Linked DNA regions of Saccharomyces cerevisiae S288C. The gene in region 1 interacts genetically with each later gene. Each region holds a gene or a part of one and is shown in the gene's direction. Other genes may lie near its edges.

What was found.
Region 2: mutations in DRS2 (region 1) and TRS33 together harm fitness more than expected from each alone (negative genetic interaction), as found in Saccharomyces cerevisiae (3 studies listed by BioGRID, with this or other methods).
Region 3: mutations in DRS2 (region 1) and MSC7 together harm fitness more than expected from each alone (negative genetic interaction), as found in Saccharomyces cerevisiae (2 studies listed by BioGRID).
Region 4: of DRS2 (region 1) and KES1, a mutation in one rescues a mutant of the other (synthetic rescue), as found in Saccharomyces cerevisiae (5 studies listed by BioGRID, with this or other methods).

The regions. Positions count from the first base shown.
Region 1 is NC_001133.9:95,046-101,668, reverse strand, and holds DRS2 (aminophospholipid-translocating P4-type ATPase DRS2), read left to right. Parts: upstream 1-1,971; coding exon 1,972-6,039; downstream 6,040-6,623. Other genes in the region: mitotic regulator LTE1, read left to right, coding at 1-104; ribosome biosynthesis protein MAK16, read left to right, coding at 524-1,444; DNA-binding protein SAW1, read right to left, coding at 6,197-6,623. UniProt on the Saccharomyces cerevisiae protein: Catalytic component of a P4-ATPase flippase complex which catalyzes the hydrolysis of ATP coupled to the transport of phosphatidylserine and small amounts of ethanolamine from the lumen to the cytosolic leaflet of the trans-Golgi network and ensures the maintenance of asymmetric distribution of phospholipids.
Region 2 is NC_001147.6:538,159-541,001, reverse strand, and holds TRS33 (Trs33p), read left to right. Parts: upstream 1-1,536; coding exon 1,537-2,343; downstream 2,344-2,843. Other genes in the region: DNA-directed RNA polymerase III core subunit RPO31, read left to right, coding at 1-1,239; mitochondrial HMG-box protein CIM1, read right to left, coding at 2,548-2,843.
Region 3 is NC_001140.6:184,291-188,755, reverse strand, and holds MSC7 (meiotic recombination directing protein), read left to right. Parts: upstream 1-1,946; coding exon 1,947-3,881; downstream 3,882-4,465. Other genes in the region: BCD1 (Bcd1p), read right to left, coding at 1-832; VMA10 (H(+)-transporting V1 sector ATPase subunit G), read left to right, coding at 1,077-1,079, 1,242-1,583; RRF1 (Rrf1p), read right to left, coding at 3,998-4,465.
Region 4 is NC_001148.4:277,811-281,240, reverse strand, and holds KES1 (oxysterol-binding protein KES1), read left to right. Parts: upstream 1-1,541; coding exon 1,542-2,846; downstream 2,847-3,430. Other genes in the region: POC4 (Poc4p), read right to left, coding at 315-761. UniProt on the Saccharomyces cerevisiae protein: Lipid transport protein (LTP) involved in non-vesicular transfer of lipids between membranes.

The DNA.
Region 1 (6,623 bases):
AATGGTCCAAGTTTTACACTTTCAAAGTTAACCACGAATTGCTGAGTAAGTGTGTTTATATTAGCACATTAACACAAGAAGAGATTAATGAACTATCCACATGAGGTATTGTGCCACTTTCCTCCAGTTCCCAAATTCCTCTTGTAAAAAACTTTGCATATAAAATATACAGATGGAGCATATATAGATGGAGCATACATACATGTTTTTTTTTTTTTAAAAACATGGACTCGAACAGAATAAAAGAATTTATAATGATAGATAATGCATACTTCAATAAGAGAGAATACTTGTTTTTAAATGAGAATTGCTTTCATTAGCTCATTATGTTCAGATTATCAAAATGCAGTAGGGTAATAAACCTTTTTTTTTTTTTTTTTTTTTTTTGAAAAATTTTCCGATGAGCTTTTGAAAAAAAATGAAAAAGTGATTGGTATAGAGGCAGATATTGCATTGCTTAGTTCTTTCTTTTGACAGTGTTCTCTTCAGTACATAACTACAACGGTTAGAATACAACGAGGATATGTCCGACGAAATTGTTTGGCAAGTGATTAATCAAAGTTTCTGCTCTCATAGAATTAAGGCACCTAATGGTCAAAATTTTTGCAGAAATGAGTATAACGTCACTGGGTTGTGTACAAGGCAATCATGCCCACTTGCCAACTCCAAGTATGCAACAGTGAAGTGTGACAATGGGAAACTGTACTTGTATATGAAGACGCCTGAAAGAGCGCACACTCCTGCCAAGTTATGGGAAAGAATCAAACTATCCAAAAATTACACGAAGGCTTTACAACAGATCGACGAACACCTACTACATTGGAGCAAGTTTTTCCGTCATAAGTGTAAACAGAGATTTACAAAATTGACGCAGGTCATGATAACAGAGAGACGTTTAGCATTAAGGGAGGAGGAGAGACACTACGTTGGTGTAGCACCAAAGGTCAAAAGAAGAGAACAAAACAGGGAGAGAAAGGCATTGGTAGCTGCCAAGATTGAAAAAGCCATCGAAAAAGAATTGATGGACAGATTAAAGAGTGGTGCTTACGGTGATAAACCATTAAATGTTGACGAAAAGGTCTGGAAGAAGATAATGGGTCAAATGGAAGAGGAGAATTCTCAGGACGAGGAAGAAGACTGGGATGAAGAAGAGGAAAGTGATGATGGGGAAGTTGAATACGTTGCAGATGATGGCGAAGGTGAATACGTTGACGTGGATGACTTAGAAAAGTGGTTAGCTGACTCTGACAGAGAAGCTTCCAGCGCCAGTGAAAGCGAAAGCGACAGTGAAAGCGAGAGCGACAGCGATAGTGATGAAGAAAATAAGAATTCAGCCAAGAGACGTAAGAAGGGAACTAGTGCCAAAACTAAACGTCCTAAAGTCGAAATCGAATACGAGGAGGAACACGAAGTTCAAAATGCTGAGCAAGAAGTGGCACAATAAGCTCACGCACTATACTACGCAACATTACATGATTTCAGTTTCTATTATTGAATGAACAGGATTTTTCCACGTGGATTGGGCAGCGCACTGTACCATAATAACAACCAGTTATAAAATATTTCAATTCTTTTACATATATAAAAATACATAAAGACTATTATTTTTGTAAGATGGCCCATTCTGTAACACTTAAATTTCTTATCAAAAAAAAAAAAAATAATACCTTTAGTAGCTGTTGGGCTAATAACATTGCAAATTAGAAGCTTACTATTAGAAGCTTACTATTACGGGATTATTGAGGTAAAGGTTATTTGAAGCGTAAATCACTGAAATCTTCCTGATCACGTGATTGGCTTTTTTTGCCAGAAAACCCAAATCTGTTTAATGCCACTAAGTTGAAGAAACATATAATCAACAATTGTTGGCAATTCTAAGGGGAATAGTGCAACAAGAAGCCAGTAACGCCAAATAGAGGTTAGCGCCAAGCAATAATTTACTGGTAGGTTCTTTCATTCCCTGATTTTACCATGAATGACGACAGAGAAACCCCCCCAAAGAGGAAACCTGGGGAGGACGACACGCTTTTCGATATTGACTTCTTAGACGACACGACTTCTCATTCTGGATCCCGTTCAAAGGTCACCAACTCACATGCGAACGCGAATTATATACCACCAAGTCATGTACTTCCCGAAGAGACTATCGACTTAGACGCTGATGATGATAACATTGAAAATGATGTCCATGAAAATCTATTTATGAGCAATAACCATGACGACCAAACGTCTTGGAATGCCAATAGATTCGACTCAGATGCATATCAACCACAATCCCTACGAGCAGTCAAGCCTCCCGGTTTATTTGCTAGGTTTGGTAATGGTCTCAAAAATGCCTTTACGTTCAAACGGAAGAAAGGGCCCGAAAGTTTCGAAATGAATCATTACAATGCGGTGACTAATAACGAATTAGACGATAATTATCTAGACTCGAGGAATAAGTTCAACATTAAAATTCTTTTCAACCGGTACATTTTAAGAAAGAACGTTGGCGACGCAGAGGGCAATGGTGAACCAAGAGTCATCCACATCAACGATTCTCTCGCTAATTCCTCCTTCGGTTATAGTGACAACCATATATCTACCACCAAGTATAATTTTGCGACCTTTCTGCCTAAATTTTTGTTCCAAGAATTTTCCAAATACGCTAATCTGTTTTTTTTATGTACATCTGCCATTCAACAGGTGCCTCACGTCTCGCCAACTAATAGATACACCACAATTGGTACTTTATTAGTGGTTTTGATTGTTTCTGCCATGAAGGAATGTATCGAAGATATCAAGAGAGCTAATTCTGATAAAGAATTAAATAATTCGACAGCAGAAATATTTTCAGAAGCACATGATGACTTTGTTGAGAAACGATGGATTGATATTCGTGTAGGTGACATAATTAGAGTAAAATCAGAGGAACCTATTCCTGCTGATACCATAATTTTGTCATCTTCGGAACCGGAGGGTCTTTGCTACATTGAAACTGCCAACTTGGATGGTGAAACAAATTTGAAAATCAAACAGTCGAGAGTAGAAACTGCCAAATTTATAGACGTTAAAACTTTGAAGAACATGAACGGAAAAGTTGTTTCCGAACAGCCGAACTCTAGCTTGTATACTTATGAAGGTACAATGACTTTAAATGATCGTCAAATACCGTTATCTCCTGACCAAATGATTTTAAGAGGTGCAACTTTAAGAAATACTGCATGGATATTTGGTTTAGTTATCTTCACTGGTCATGAAACTAAGTTATTGCGTAATGCTACTGCAACCCCAATTAAAAGAACCGCGGTTGAGAAAATTATCAACAGACAGATTATTGCATTGTTCACAGTTTTAATCGTGCTAATTTTAATTTCTTCAATTGGTAATGTTATTATGTCTACTGCAGATGCCAAACATTTATCGTACCTTTACCTGGAGGGTACCAACAAGGCTGGCTTATTCTTCAAAGACTTTTTAACATTTTGGATTCTATTTTCGAATCTAGTTCCTATTTCTCTATTTGTCACCGTTGAATTAATCAAATATTATCAGGCTTTTATGATAGGTTCAGATCTAGATTTGTACTACGAAAAAACTGATACCCCAACTGTGGTTCGTACATCCTCTTTGGTTGAAGAACTTGGTCAAATAGAATATATATTCAGTGACAAGACAGGAACTTTAACAAGAAATATTATGGAATTTAAATCCTGCTCTATTGCAGGCCATTGCTATATTGATAAAATACCTGAAGATAAAACGGCCACTGTTGAAGATGGGATTGAAGTTGGTTATAGAAAATTTGACGATTTGAAGAAAAAGTTAAATGATCCCTCTGATGAGGATTCACCTATTATCAATGACTTCTTAACATTACTGGCTACCTGTCATACTGTCATTCCAGAATTTCAAAGCGATGGATCTATTAAATATCAAGCAGCCTCTCCAGATGAAGGTGCCCTCGTTCAAGGTGGTGCAGATTTAGGGTATAAGTTTATCATCCGTAAACCAAACTCTGTAACTGTTTTATTGGAGGAAACTGGCGAGGAAAAAGAGTATCAACTACTTAACATTTGTGAATTTAATTCCACCAGGAAGAGAATGAGCGCTATATTTAGATTTCCGGATGGTTCGATAAAGTTATTCTGTAAAGGTGCTGATACTGTCATTCTGGAAAGATTGGATGATGAAGCTAATCAATATGTAGAAGCTACAATGAGACATTTAGAAGATTATGCATCTGAGGGTTTGCGGACGTTGTGTTTGGCGATGAGAGATATCTCTGAAGGAGAATATGAAGAATGGAATAGCATTTATAATGAGGCTGCCACAACATTAGATAACAGAGCCGAGAAGCTAGACGAAGCCGCAAATCTAATCGAGAAAAATCTAATATTAATTGGTGCAACTGCTATTGAAGATAAGTTACAGGACGGTGTTCCAGAAACTATCCACACATTACAAGAAGCGGGTATTAAAATTTGGGTTTTAACTGGTGACAGACAGGAAACTGCTATTAACATTGGTATGAGTTGCCGTTTATTGAGTGAAGACATGAATTTGTTGATCATCAACGAGGAAACCAGAGATGATACTGAGAGAAATTTGTTAGAGAAGATTAACGCTCTAAACGAGCATCAATTGTCAACACATGATATGAATACCTTAGCGCTCGTCATTGATGGGAAGTCATTAGGCTTTGCCTTGGAACCAGAATTAGAAGATTATTTGCTAACTGTGGCGAAGCTTTGTAAAGCGGTTATATGTTGCCGTGTATCTCCACTACAGAAAGCCTTGGTTGTTAAAATGGTAAAAAGAAAGTCGTCTTCACTACTGCTAGCCATTGGCGATGGTGCCAACGATGTTAGTATGATACAGGCAGCTCATGTTGGTGTCGGTATTAGTGGTATGGAAGGTATGCAAGCGGCTCGTTCAGCTGATATAGCTGTTGGCCAATTTAAATTTTTAAAAAAACTATTACTTGTCCATGGCTCCTGGTCTTATCAAAGAATTTCTGTCGCAATTTTGTACTCTTTTTACAAGAATACAGCATTATACATGACGCAGTTTTGGTACGTTTTTGCCAATGCCTTTTCAGGTCAATCCATTATGGAATCATGGACAATGAGTTTCTACAACTTATTCTTCACTGTTTGGCCCCCTTTTGTCATTGGTGTATTTGATCAATTTGTTAGTAGTAGATTACTTGAGCGGTACCCACAATTGTACAAATTAGGACAGAAGGGTCAATTTTTCTCTGTTTACATCTTCTGGGGATGGATTATTAATGGCTTTTTCCATTCTGCAATAGTATTTATTGGCACCATATTGATTTACAGATATGGGTTTGCCTTAAATATGCACGGCGAACTAGCTGATCATTGGTCTTGGGGTGTAACTGTCTACACTACAAGTGTCATTATTGTTTTGGGAAAGGCTGCTTTGGTAACTAATCAATGGACGAAATTCACCTTAATTGCCATTCCTGGTTCCCTCTTATTTTGGTTAATATTCTTCCCAATTTATGCTTCTATATTTCCTCATGCTAACATCTCAAGAGAGTATTATGGTGTGGTTAAACACACGTATGGATCCGGTGTATTTTGGTTAACTTTGATCGTTTTACCAATTTTTGCACTGGTAAGAGATTTTCTATGGAAGTACTATAAAAGAATGTATGAACCAGAAACGTATCATGTTATTCAAGAAATGCAGAAATACAATATCAGCGACTCTAGGCCGCACGTTCAGCAATTTCAAAATGCCATCAGGAAGGTGAGGCAAGTGCAAAGAATGAAAAAACAAAGAGGATTTGCCTTTTCACAGGCTGAAGAGGGTGGGCAAGAAAAAATTGTCAGAATGTATGATACTACTCAAAAGAGAGGTAAGTACGGTGAATTACAAGATGCTTCGGCGAACCCCTTTAATGACAATAATGGACTGGGAAGTAACGACTTTGAAAGTGCAGAACCGTTCATTGAAAATCCATTTGCTGATGGTAATCAAAATTCAAATAGATTCAGTTCTTCGAGAGATGATATTTCATTTGATATATGAGGCACAGAAACAAAGAGCAGAAGACAAAAAATACAAAAATAAAAATAAGATAAAAAGAAAAGTCATTATTACCATTACTGAAATATGTACATTTACCATAAAATATATCCGTTATATAGAAGTTATAATATTAAGCCATCACTTTGTTATCGGTTTTTCATTCCTCCTGGGGTTGCTTCGACTGGGTACGTACCTTATGTCTTCTAGGCCTATGCAACACATGTACATCAATAATTTCACCTAAATTAATAACAGGCTTGTACATAAATTCTATTACAGGTTTTATATCCTCTTCCACCGGTGTATCCAGGGCATCAGCGTCCCCATTTTCTATTAACAAATTAGGTACCTGGGGCTGTTTTTCTATTTTCCTAGCTAATAACGTTTTGGGTCCTGCATTTAATGAGAAACCGTTTAATGTTAATGTTTGAAACATCAAATAGTGCCTTAAATTGGCGATCTTCTTAATGCTGTTGATGAATATGTCGAGCTCCCACTTATGTTTGTAGTGCAACTTGTATTTGAATTTAGCCAGCCTTGTCACAGACTGGATGTGAGAAGTTACCGCATTATCCGTATCGGCA
Region 2 (2,843 bases), on another chromosome or scaffold:
CCTGATAATGTTAAAACATCTGTAAGCCAACTTTATAGAATCAGTGAAAAATCGGTGAGAAAGTTTTTAGAAATTGCTCTTTTCAAATATCGTAAGGCAAGACTGGAGCCAGGTACTGCTATTGGTGCTATTGGTGCTCAATCCATTGGTGAACCAGGTACACAAATGACATTGAAGACCTTTCATTTTGCAGGTGTGGCTTCCATGAATGTTACATTAGGTGTTCCTCGTATCAAAGAAATTATCAATGCTTCCAAGGTCATTTCTACACCTATTATAAATGCTGTATTAGTAAATGATAACGATGAAAGGGCTGCTAGGGTTGTTAAAGGTAGAGTGGAAAAGACACTGCTATCTGACGTAGCTTTCTATGTCCAAGATGTTTACAAAGACAACTTGTCTTTCATTCAAGTGCGTATTGATTTAGGTACGATTGATAAACTACAATTGGAGTTGACCATAGAAGATATCGCGGTTGCTATAACCAGGGCTTCTAAATTGAAAATACAAGCCTCTGATGTCAATATTATTGGTAAAGATCGAATTGCAATCAACGTATTCCCAGAAGGGTACAAAGCAAAATCGATATCTACATCTGCGAAAGAACCAAGTGAGAATGATGTTTTTTACCGAATGCAACAGTTACGTCGTGCGCTTCCTGATGTTGTTGTTAAAGGTTTACCTGATATTTCTCGTGCGGTTATTAATATTCGCGATGACGGCAAGAGGGAATTATTGGTTGAAGGTTACGGCCTGCGAGATGTGATGTGTACAGATGGTGTCATTGGTTCTAGAACTACAACTAACCATGTTTTAGAAGTCTTTTCCGTTTTGGGTATCGAAGCTGCAAGATATAGCATTATTAGAGAAATTAACTATACCATGAGTAATCACGGTATGAGTGTCGATCCACGTCATATCCAACTATTAGGTGATGTGATGACATATAAGGGTGAAGTGTTGGGTATTACAAGATTTGGTTTGAGTAAAATGAGGGACTCTGTTTTGCAGCTAGCCTCCTTCGAAAAGACAACTGACCATTTATTCGATGCGGCCTTTTATATGAAAAAGGACGCTGTTGAAGGTGTTTCTGAATGTATTATTTTGGGTCAAACGATGTCGATCGGTACCGGTTCCTTTAAAGTTGTTAAAGGTACTAATATATCTGAAAAGGATCTGGTTCCTAAGCGATGTCTATTTGAAAGTCTCTCAAATGAGGCAGCTTTAAAAGCGAACTAAAGTAGTCGTTTTTAAACTTTTTTATAGCATTTGTATTATTTTTCTACCACAGTCATTTAACGTATTTATACATATAAAACTACATGATAAAAACCATGAAACAAAATTTACTTATAAGAAATTTGCTTTCTTCACATTAGTAGAACCAGCGTATCGTTTTCAAAAACTCGCGTCAACGTTTTGAGACCAAAAATGCTAAATATTTTGGAATCTGGTATGCACTCACAAGCTGAGAGTGAAGACCTCATGCCATAAAAGAAAACATACACCGGTTATAAAGTTGGAAGATAAACAATTATGTCCTCTACACATAGTAATAATGTAGGACATCCCCAATCTTCTCCACAAGGTCCACTAACGGAACAACAAAGAGCACAACAGCAATATCAAATTTTTGAGAATTCATTACCAAAAGTAAGTCAATCTGTGTATCAGATGCTGTTGAACGAGATGGTTCCTCTAGCTATGGGCATTGAGAGGCAAATATCAGGCGATGTTATCAGTTCTGATAGCAATGTAACTTCCGAAAATGGTAACATCAACAATATGATAAAGAGACTGAAGATAGAGGAACATCATACAGTAGATATCATACGTTCTCATAACTTGATACATGAGCTGTATAAGGCGGATGAAGAGGAAAAAGAAAAGGTTTTAGCAAGACTGAGGAATATTGGGTTTCAAATCGGATTGAAGCTGTCAGAGTTATTGATATTTTCTAACAACCCAAATTTAAAATTCAAGGAAATGGACCTTCTATTAATAATGAAGTTCATTTGTAGGGATGTCTGGAAACAAATATTTGGTAAACAGATCGATAATTTAAAAACAAACCACAGAGGAACCTTTTACCTTCTTGATTATGACTATCGACCTATTCAATCATTTTCTTTGGAGGAAGATGCAAAAAACGAGGAGTTAAAAATGATAGAACCGTTTTTGGAGATACCTGTGGGAATTATTAGAGGCGTGTTGTCTTCCTTAGGTTATTCATCTGAAGAGGTCATTTGCTTGGCGTCTTTTATCGACAGGCCAACAGATAGGCCTAAAACAGCTTTTCCCAAGGGAGTTAGCTTCCATGTTCAAGTCACAATGCCGCAGTAAAGGTCCGACAGATTTTTGTTCTAAGAATGTACATCGACATATAGATAGATATAAGTGTGTATATAAAAGAACAGGTGACTCCGTTTTCAAAATAATACCCTTACTATAAAATCTTGACAATAATTTCTTTGATCAAGGTACATATAGTCTTTATGATAGTGAAGTGCTTTCGTGGACTCTTCTTAAAGCCCTAAAAGTCTATTGTCATTTCTTTTTTAGTAGGTACGTCATGGGAAGAATATTATTTGGTTGTGTATTTGTATCGTGATTCGCTGCTGTAAGATAGGACTCACTTCTGAGACCAAACTTTGACATGATATCCATGTTTTTTTGTAATATTTGTATCTCGTTATCCATCATTTCCTCAAATTTTGCCCTCCATACCTGTAATTTTTTTCTAATTTCTAGTTTCTGGTCATAGTCAACCTCTTCGTTCCAAGCATACCGGCATTCTTTGCACATTTGTTGAAACCTTTTCATATAATCATAAAGGTAATTTT
Region 3 (4,465 bases), on another chromosome or scaffold:
CTGTGGTGTTCTTCAACAATTCTCCGATGCATTTCTCATGTATAGCCAACTCCACCAGTTTTTTTGAATCCATTATATGCGTGGTGTTGTAAGGGAACGTTTTCGTGTAGAATTTGAGCCCACTCTTCTGTAGGATCTGTGTTCTTTCCTCTTTGGTCTCCGAACCGTCTTCGCCCTCTATGCAAGAGCTTGTTCCAGCCAAGCGATAGAATTCACAGCATTTTTGGAAAACGTTCTTGCCCATCCCTTGCACCAAAAAGTCTGTCTCTTTGATACGGTGGCTGACATGTTTGAAAAGCTCCTTTTTCTCACCCTTTTCCTGCATAGGACATAGAATCCACTCCACGCTCCATACAAATAGGTCCATCGTTTTGTCCCACTTGCTCCTGTTTTGCGATGATCGCTGCATCCCCTTGGGTAGCATCAAACAGTTCACCCCCCTCCTAATTATCCTCTGACACTCCGTGCTATCACGATCATCCTCATCTATATCGTATCTTCTCTTCTTGAAATTAGAGTTGTGGCCGCCCACAGGCCCCAGAACCCGCTTGTTCTTCATTCTAGCATCCATCTTTTGTACATGCACCATTCGCTTCAACTGCGTCAGATAGTTGTAGTCCCTCTGGACATAAGCATTTCGTTCGTGCTTGTCGTCGTCCGCCTGTTTCAACGCCTCACTCGATATATACTCCTTAGGATCATGTGTTTGACCTGAGCAATTGTCCCTTGTCTTGTGCTTCTTGGAACACTCCAAAGAGCAAGTTTGCACCAAACATCTTGGACACTTGTATTTGAACTCTTTTATTCCGCATACACCACACAACACCGCCATACTTGCAAATTGCCACACCCTTCCCTATTAACTGGACTCCTATTCCAGCTCATCTCATCGAATATGAACTTTGACATCCACTATTATTACCGCGAATTTTTTTTTTTTTCAATTTGTTACCCTGCCTTGGGTATCAAAAATTTCATCTCTAAAAGGGAGCGTGATAGATAAAGCAATCACACCTTAAACAATACATTTTTTTTTTTCCTGCAATCTCCAAAGTGTGCAAGGTATACAAAGCAGAATGGTATGTGCCATTACATTACGTGTCAACACTTCTGTCTCTAACAAGCGTTCTTACTAACATGAAAAACTTTTTTAAAACTGTGCTCTCTTGTTGGACTGGTACCTCGTGACAAAGGTATTGGTTTTTTCATTGTTGCTCAGAACTATGTAATATTCTCTTTAGTCCCAAAAAAACGGAATTGCCACCCTACTACAAGCTGAAAAGGAAGCCCACGAAATAGTATCAAAGGCTAGAAAGTACAGACAAGATAAGTTGAAGCAAGCCAAGACTGATGCAGCCAAGGAAATCGACTCATACAAAATTCAAAAAGACAAGGAATTGAAGGAGTTTGAACAAAAGAATGCCGGTGGTGTTGGTGAATTGGAAAAGAAAGCAGAGGCTGGTGTGCAAGGTGAATTAGCTGAGATTAAGAAAATTGCAGAGAAGAAAAAGGATGACGTTGTCAAAATTTTGATCGAGACTGTCATCAAGCCTTCTGCTGAAGTCCATATCAATGCCTTGTAATATTGCATTACATTCTAGTTTTCTAATCATATATCTTTTTATAATATAATACCAATAGAATAAAAATGTATAAACTGACATTGCATTCGGTCTTTACGACTCTCGCTTTATCCATTCAGCCTTTTTTTTTTTTTTTTTTTTTTCTCTATCTGCTAAACGAGTAGTAGTATAATCAAAAATGTGTTATTTAGTATATCGGTTGTAAAGGAGAAAGTATGGTCTCTCTATTTTTATTTTATTAACGAAAAATACTAAACGCCGATGGGGATTACTATATAATTATAATAGTATTTGCAGAATAGTAGAATTCTTTTCACAGTTCACGTTCAGTTTCTCCTCTGTTTTATCGAACGTTTATTCATCATGTCCAAGGTCTATCTGAATTCAGACATGATTAACCATTTGAACTCCACAGTTCAAGCTTACTTTAACTTATGGTTGGAGAAGCAAAACGCAATAATGCGTTCTCAACCCCAAATTATTCAAGATAACCAAAAACTGATAGGCATTACAACGCTAGTTGCCTCAATTTTCACTCTGTATGTTTTGGTCAAGATAATCTCCACCCCAGCAAAGTGTTCCTCGTCCTATAAGCCAGTCAAATTCTCCCTTCCTGCACCAGAGGCCGCTCAAAATAATTGGAAGGGCAAGAGGTCTGTTTCCACTAACATATGGAATCCTGAAGAACCAAACTTTATTCAATGTCATTGTCCCGCCACAGGTCAATATCTAGGTTCTTTTCCATCGAAAACGGAAGCTGACATAGATGAAATGGTTTCTAAGGCAGGCAAAGCTCAATCTACTTGGGGCAATTCTGATTTCTCAAGAAGATTGAGAGTTTTGGCTTCTTTGCATGATTATATTCTAAATAATCAAGATCTTATTGCGAGAGTAGCGTGCAGGGATTCAGGAAAGACAATGTTAGACGCATCGATGGGTGAAATCTTGGTTACTTTAGAAAAAATTCAATGGACTATAAAGCACGGCCAAAGAGCGTTGCAACCTTCGAGACGTCCGGGCCCCACTAATTTTTTCATGAAGTGGTATAAAGGTGCAGAAATCCGTTATGAACCACTGGGTGTGATCAGTTCTATCGTTTCCTGGAACTATCCATTCCATAACTTATTGGGTCCAATTATTGCAGCATTGTTCACAGGGAATGCCATTGTAGTAAAATGTTCAGAACAAGTTGTCTGGTCTTCGGAATTTTTCGTCGAGCTGATCCGCAAATGTTTGGAAGCTTGTGATGAAGATCCAGATTTGGTTCAGTTGTGCTATTGTTTACCTCCAACTGAAAATGATGATTCCGCAAATTATTTCACCTCTCATCCTGGTTTCAAACATATCACTTTTATTGGCAGTCAGCCCGTAGCGCACTATATTCTAAAATGCGCTGCCAAATCATTGACACCCGTAGTTGTGGAGCTTGGTGGTAAGGATGCGTTTATTGTCCTAGACTCAGCTAAGAATTTAGATGCTTTATCTTCTATCATCATGAGGGGTACTTTCCAATCATCCGGTCAAAATTGTATTGGTATTGAGAGGGTTATTGTCAGTAAGGAAAATTATGATGATTTAGTCAAGATTTTGAATGACCGTATGACTGCAAATCCACTACGCCAAGGGTCTGATATTGATCATTTAGAAAATGTTGATATGGGGGCAATGATATCTGACAACAGATTCGATGAACTAGAAGCTTTGGTTAAAGATGCTGTTGCAAAGGGAGCTCGTTTACTTCAAGGTGGTTCCCGCTTCAAACATCCAAAGTATCCACAAGGTCATTATTTCCAACCAACTCTTTTGGTGGATGTCACTCCAGAAATGAAAATAGCACAAAACGAAGTGTTTGGCCCAATTTTAGTCATGATGAAAGCTAAGAATACTGACCATTGTGTACAACTAGCCAACTCTGCGCCATTTGGTCTAGGTGGTTCTGTGTTTGGTGCGGATATCAAGGAATGCAATTACGTCGCAAATAGCCTACAAACTGGTAATGTAGCCATTAATGATTTTGCTACATTCTATGTTTGTCAATTACCATTTGGTGGTATCAATGGTTCAGGTTACGGTAAATTTGGTGGTGAAGAAGGTCTTTTGGGTTTGTGCAATGCCAAAAGTGTCTGTTTTGATACTTTGCCTTTTGTCTCCACTCAAATTCCAAAACCATTAGACTACCCTATTCGTAACAATGCTAAGGCTTGGAATTTTGTAAAGAGTTTCATCGTAGGAGCTTATACAAATTCCACATGGCAAAGAATAAAGTCACTGTTCTCTTTAGCTAAAGAAGCCAGCTAGTTTACTTTAGAGGAAGCAACAAACTTATCAATAATTTGGTATTTATTATTATATAAAATGAACTTTTTATGTACAAGATTTATGATTTTTTGATTCTATACACGTTACGAAATTCCTCATTTTACAATGCTTTTTTCAACTTTCTGGAATTGGTCATGAAGCTTGTTCACGTAATCCTTATGCAGTTTTTCCAAATCCCTCTCAGCTTTTCGAACGGCATCATCCTTTTTGAAACTTTTGAATTCCTTTAGAATACTGCCTCTGATAGTTCCTAATGAGTCTTTTAGCGATGACTGCTTATATTCTTCAAATACTCTCTTTAAGTCTTTAGCTACTTTTAACCGGGATTCTGTAGTTGGTGGTGGTAACGAAACTTTCAATTGCAAATCGTTATTTGGGACCCTTTCAGGAGTTAAATTCAGGTTCGCAGCAAGCACCCCACTGATCACAGTTTTCACATCTTTGGGGTCGAAAACTGTTATTAAAAGTGCATTTTTACCTTTCAAGGATGTGGTAGCAATATCTGTAAACTTTCTGTTATTTTTGAACACTAAACTATTGAATACCTTAGGATTAAAATTTCC
Region 4 (3,430 bases), on another chromosome or scaffold:
GCAATCCTTAGCGGTTCGGCCATCTATAATTTTGAATAAAATTTTGCTTTGCCGTTGCAATTGTGATAACTTCCTTTGGAATTTGTTGCGATATTTAATGGCGCGATGATCTTGACCCATCCTATGTGCTTCCATTTTGGAAGGATAGGGATTCATGGGTGGGTACAAATGGCAGTCTGACAAGTCAATCAAATCATTTATTTTTTCCAAAATATTTTCGAATCAAAGGTTTGATTCAGTATTTTGGAGCCGCATTATACTTAGTATTTTAATTAAATTACATTACAATCATGAATGTCTAAAGAACTCTTACTTTACTCACCGAGTTCAGTTTTCAAGAGATCGAGACACTTCTTTAAGATATATAAATGGTTTGCTACTAGCATAGAGGGATCTTCACTAGGCAGCGATGACCACGTTACATAACACGGCCTATTGAACCTTTCAGATATTATTGTGGCCATGTGTCTAGCCATATCACGAATCCGGTCATCTTTAGTATCTAATAACGGTATCCCCACAACGTTGCTTCCGCCTGATTTGAGGTTAATATGTCTATCCCTCATTAAGGGAATGGCGTAGTAATAACATGATAAGGATGAAGATGAATTCAGCGAGGCCTCTTGTTTAAATCCCACTACCAGACTAATAGGTATTTTTTTAGAACGATCGTCTGCAGGTAGAGTAGCAATAACATCCAGCGTCGGCTGTAGAAATCCAGATTCTGATTCAATAGTTCGGCTAATCGTCTTTACTAACATCACAATCACTCGCGTCTAATCTCAACGGAAGCATCTTTTGCAATTTCCCGGTCCAAATCATTTGTAAAACATAAACAATATACCAGAACCTAATCTTTTAATGTACTTTCATGTCAACAGTAAATTTTCAATCCGGGCAACGAAAACTTTCGTGCAAATAATTTCCGGAGCTCCTAAACGAACTAAAATAAGCTCTTTCCCGTATGTACCTCATCTTGTTACAGCACGAAGAATAATCGCACCGACCATTGTGTCAATCACTTCACGGGACCAGTAACTCATTCCGTTCGCGTTTTACTAGCTGCAGCATTTTTGGGCCCTCTCACGTAAGTCATTATCTTTCGGAATTGTGAGGTGCACGGATGCGGACTTCTCCTTTTGCCATTGCGTTCGTTGATTATTCTTGTTTTCCAACCTTTGCCCATTTCCTGGACTACTCGACAAGTACCACGTTTATTGGGCTCTGGTTTATTTTTCAATAGTTCTGTCTTGAGCTGTGCAAGTATTACTATTCCAAGTAAAACGATATTTCGTCGATAAGTTCTTAAGTAAACTTTTCTTTGAGTTTGACTCTATCACATTGGCTTTTTTTTTACCCAATTTCTAGCTGTTGTACTAAAGAAAAAAACAAAGAAAGAAAACTATACATTGGATAGAAACTGGCTATTTGTTCACGCTTTCAACGAAATCACCAGTCTGAACATAACAGAAATATATCAAACTTTTCTCCTAGAAACAAATCGAAAAATTTATAAGATTTAGTCTCAAGAATTTCAAGTCATGTCTCAATACGCAAGCTCATCCTCATGGACTTCTTTCTTGAAGTCAATCGCTTCATTCAATGGTGATCTTTCTTCGTTATCGGCTCCTCCATTCATTTTATCTCCAATCTCATTGACCGAGTTTTCTCAGTACTGGGCTGAACATCCAGAGCTATTCTTGGAACCCTCTTTTATCAATGACGATAATTACAAAGAACACTGTTTAATTGACCCTGAAGTCGAGTCACCCGAATTGGCCCGTATGCTGGCCGTTACTAAATGGTTCATTTCCACTTTAAAATCTCAATACTGTTCTCGTAATGAATCCTTAGGTTCTGAGAAAAAACCTTTGAACCCATTTCTAGGTGAGTTGTTCGTTGGTAAATGGGAAAATAAAGAGCATCCTGAATTTGGAGAAACGGTTTTGTTAAGTGAGCAAGTTTCTCACCATCCACCCGTCACTGCTTTTTCCATCTTCAATGATAAGAACAAGGTTAAGCTGCAAGGCTACAACCAAATTAAAGCCAGTTTCACTAAATCCTTAATGCTGACTGTTAAACAATTTGGTCACACTATGTTGGATATTAAGGATGAGAGTTATTTGGTTACCCCACCTCCATTGCATATTGAAGGTATTCTTGTCGCTTCTCCCTTTGTTGAATTGGAAGGAAAATCATATATCCAATCTTCGACAGGTCTACTTTGTGTTATTGAATTTTCAGGTAGAGGCTACTTTTCTGGTAAAAAGAATTCATTCAAGGCAAGAATTTACAAAGACTCTAAAGATAGCAAGGACAAGGAAAAGGCATTATACACAATATCAGGCCAATGGTCTGGCTCTTCTAAAATAATCAAGGCAAATAAGAAAGAAGAATCACGATTATTTTACGATGCTGCTAGAATCCCTGCTGAACATCTGAATGTCAAGCCTTTGGAGGAGCAACACCCACTGGAAAGTAGAAAAGCCTGGTACGACGTGGCTGGTGCCATCAAATTAGGCGATTTTAACTTAATTGCCAAAACGAAAACTGAATTGGAAGAAACGCAAAGAGAATTGAGAAAAGAGGAAGAAGCTAAAGGCATTAGCTGGCAAAGAAGATGGTTCAAAGATTTTGACTACTCTGTCACGCCCGAAGAAGGCGCCCTTGTACCTGAAAAGGATGACACTTTCTTAAAACTCGCCTCTGCTCTAAATTTATCAACGAAGAATGCTCCAAGTGGTACTTTGGTGGGTGACAAAGAAGACAGGAAGGAGGATCTTTCATCCATTCATTGGAGATTCCAAAGAGAGTTGTGGGACGAAGAAAAGGAAATTGTTTTGTAAGGAGAACGATAAAGTAACAACTTGTTACCGTTGCACTAATATATTATCTATCTTTTCTTCTTTTTCCTTCCTTTTTCTCTTCATGTGACAGGAAAGGATATGAAATCATTAGAGGAACTAAGAAATCATTTTTACCATCCCCTAAATCTTATATTGTTTTGTTCTCTTTTCACTATAATGACTAGAATTTATTCTTTCGAACCACAAGAATATGCTATATTGCTGTTAAAGATGAAGCAGAAAAAACCTTTATCTATTTCTACTTCTTCCTTTAATTATTGATAGACAGATCGCTCATTTTTTTCTCATGATGTCATATCCTTTTTAATCATCATACGAAGGTTAAAATTTGAAGTTTACCAAGTTTTCATGCAAGTTTTGTTATTATTTACAACCTATTACTATATTTTATCTTCTCTGTTGATATCCTCACTTTTGTCTTTTTTATAACTCTCTAATTTTCTTATGTCAATTTTGTAGAACCACATAATCGATGGAGTATATGCACTTATACAACACTTTCTATACAAAGTTTATGGTATATCCCAAAATCTGTACGCTTATCGAACCATAGGCCTGTTTTA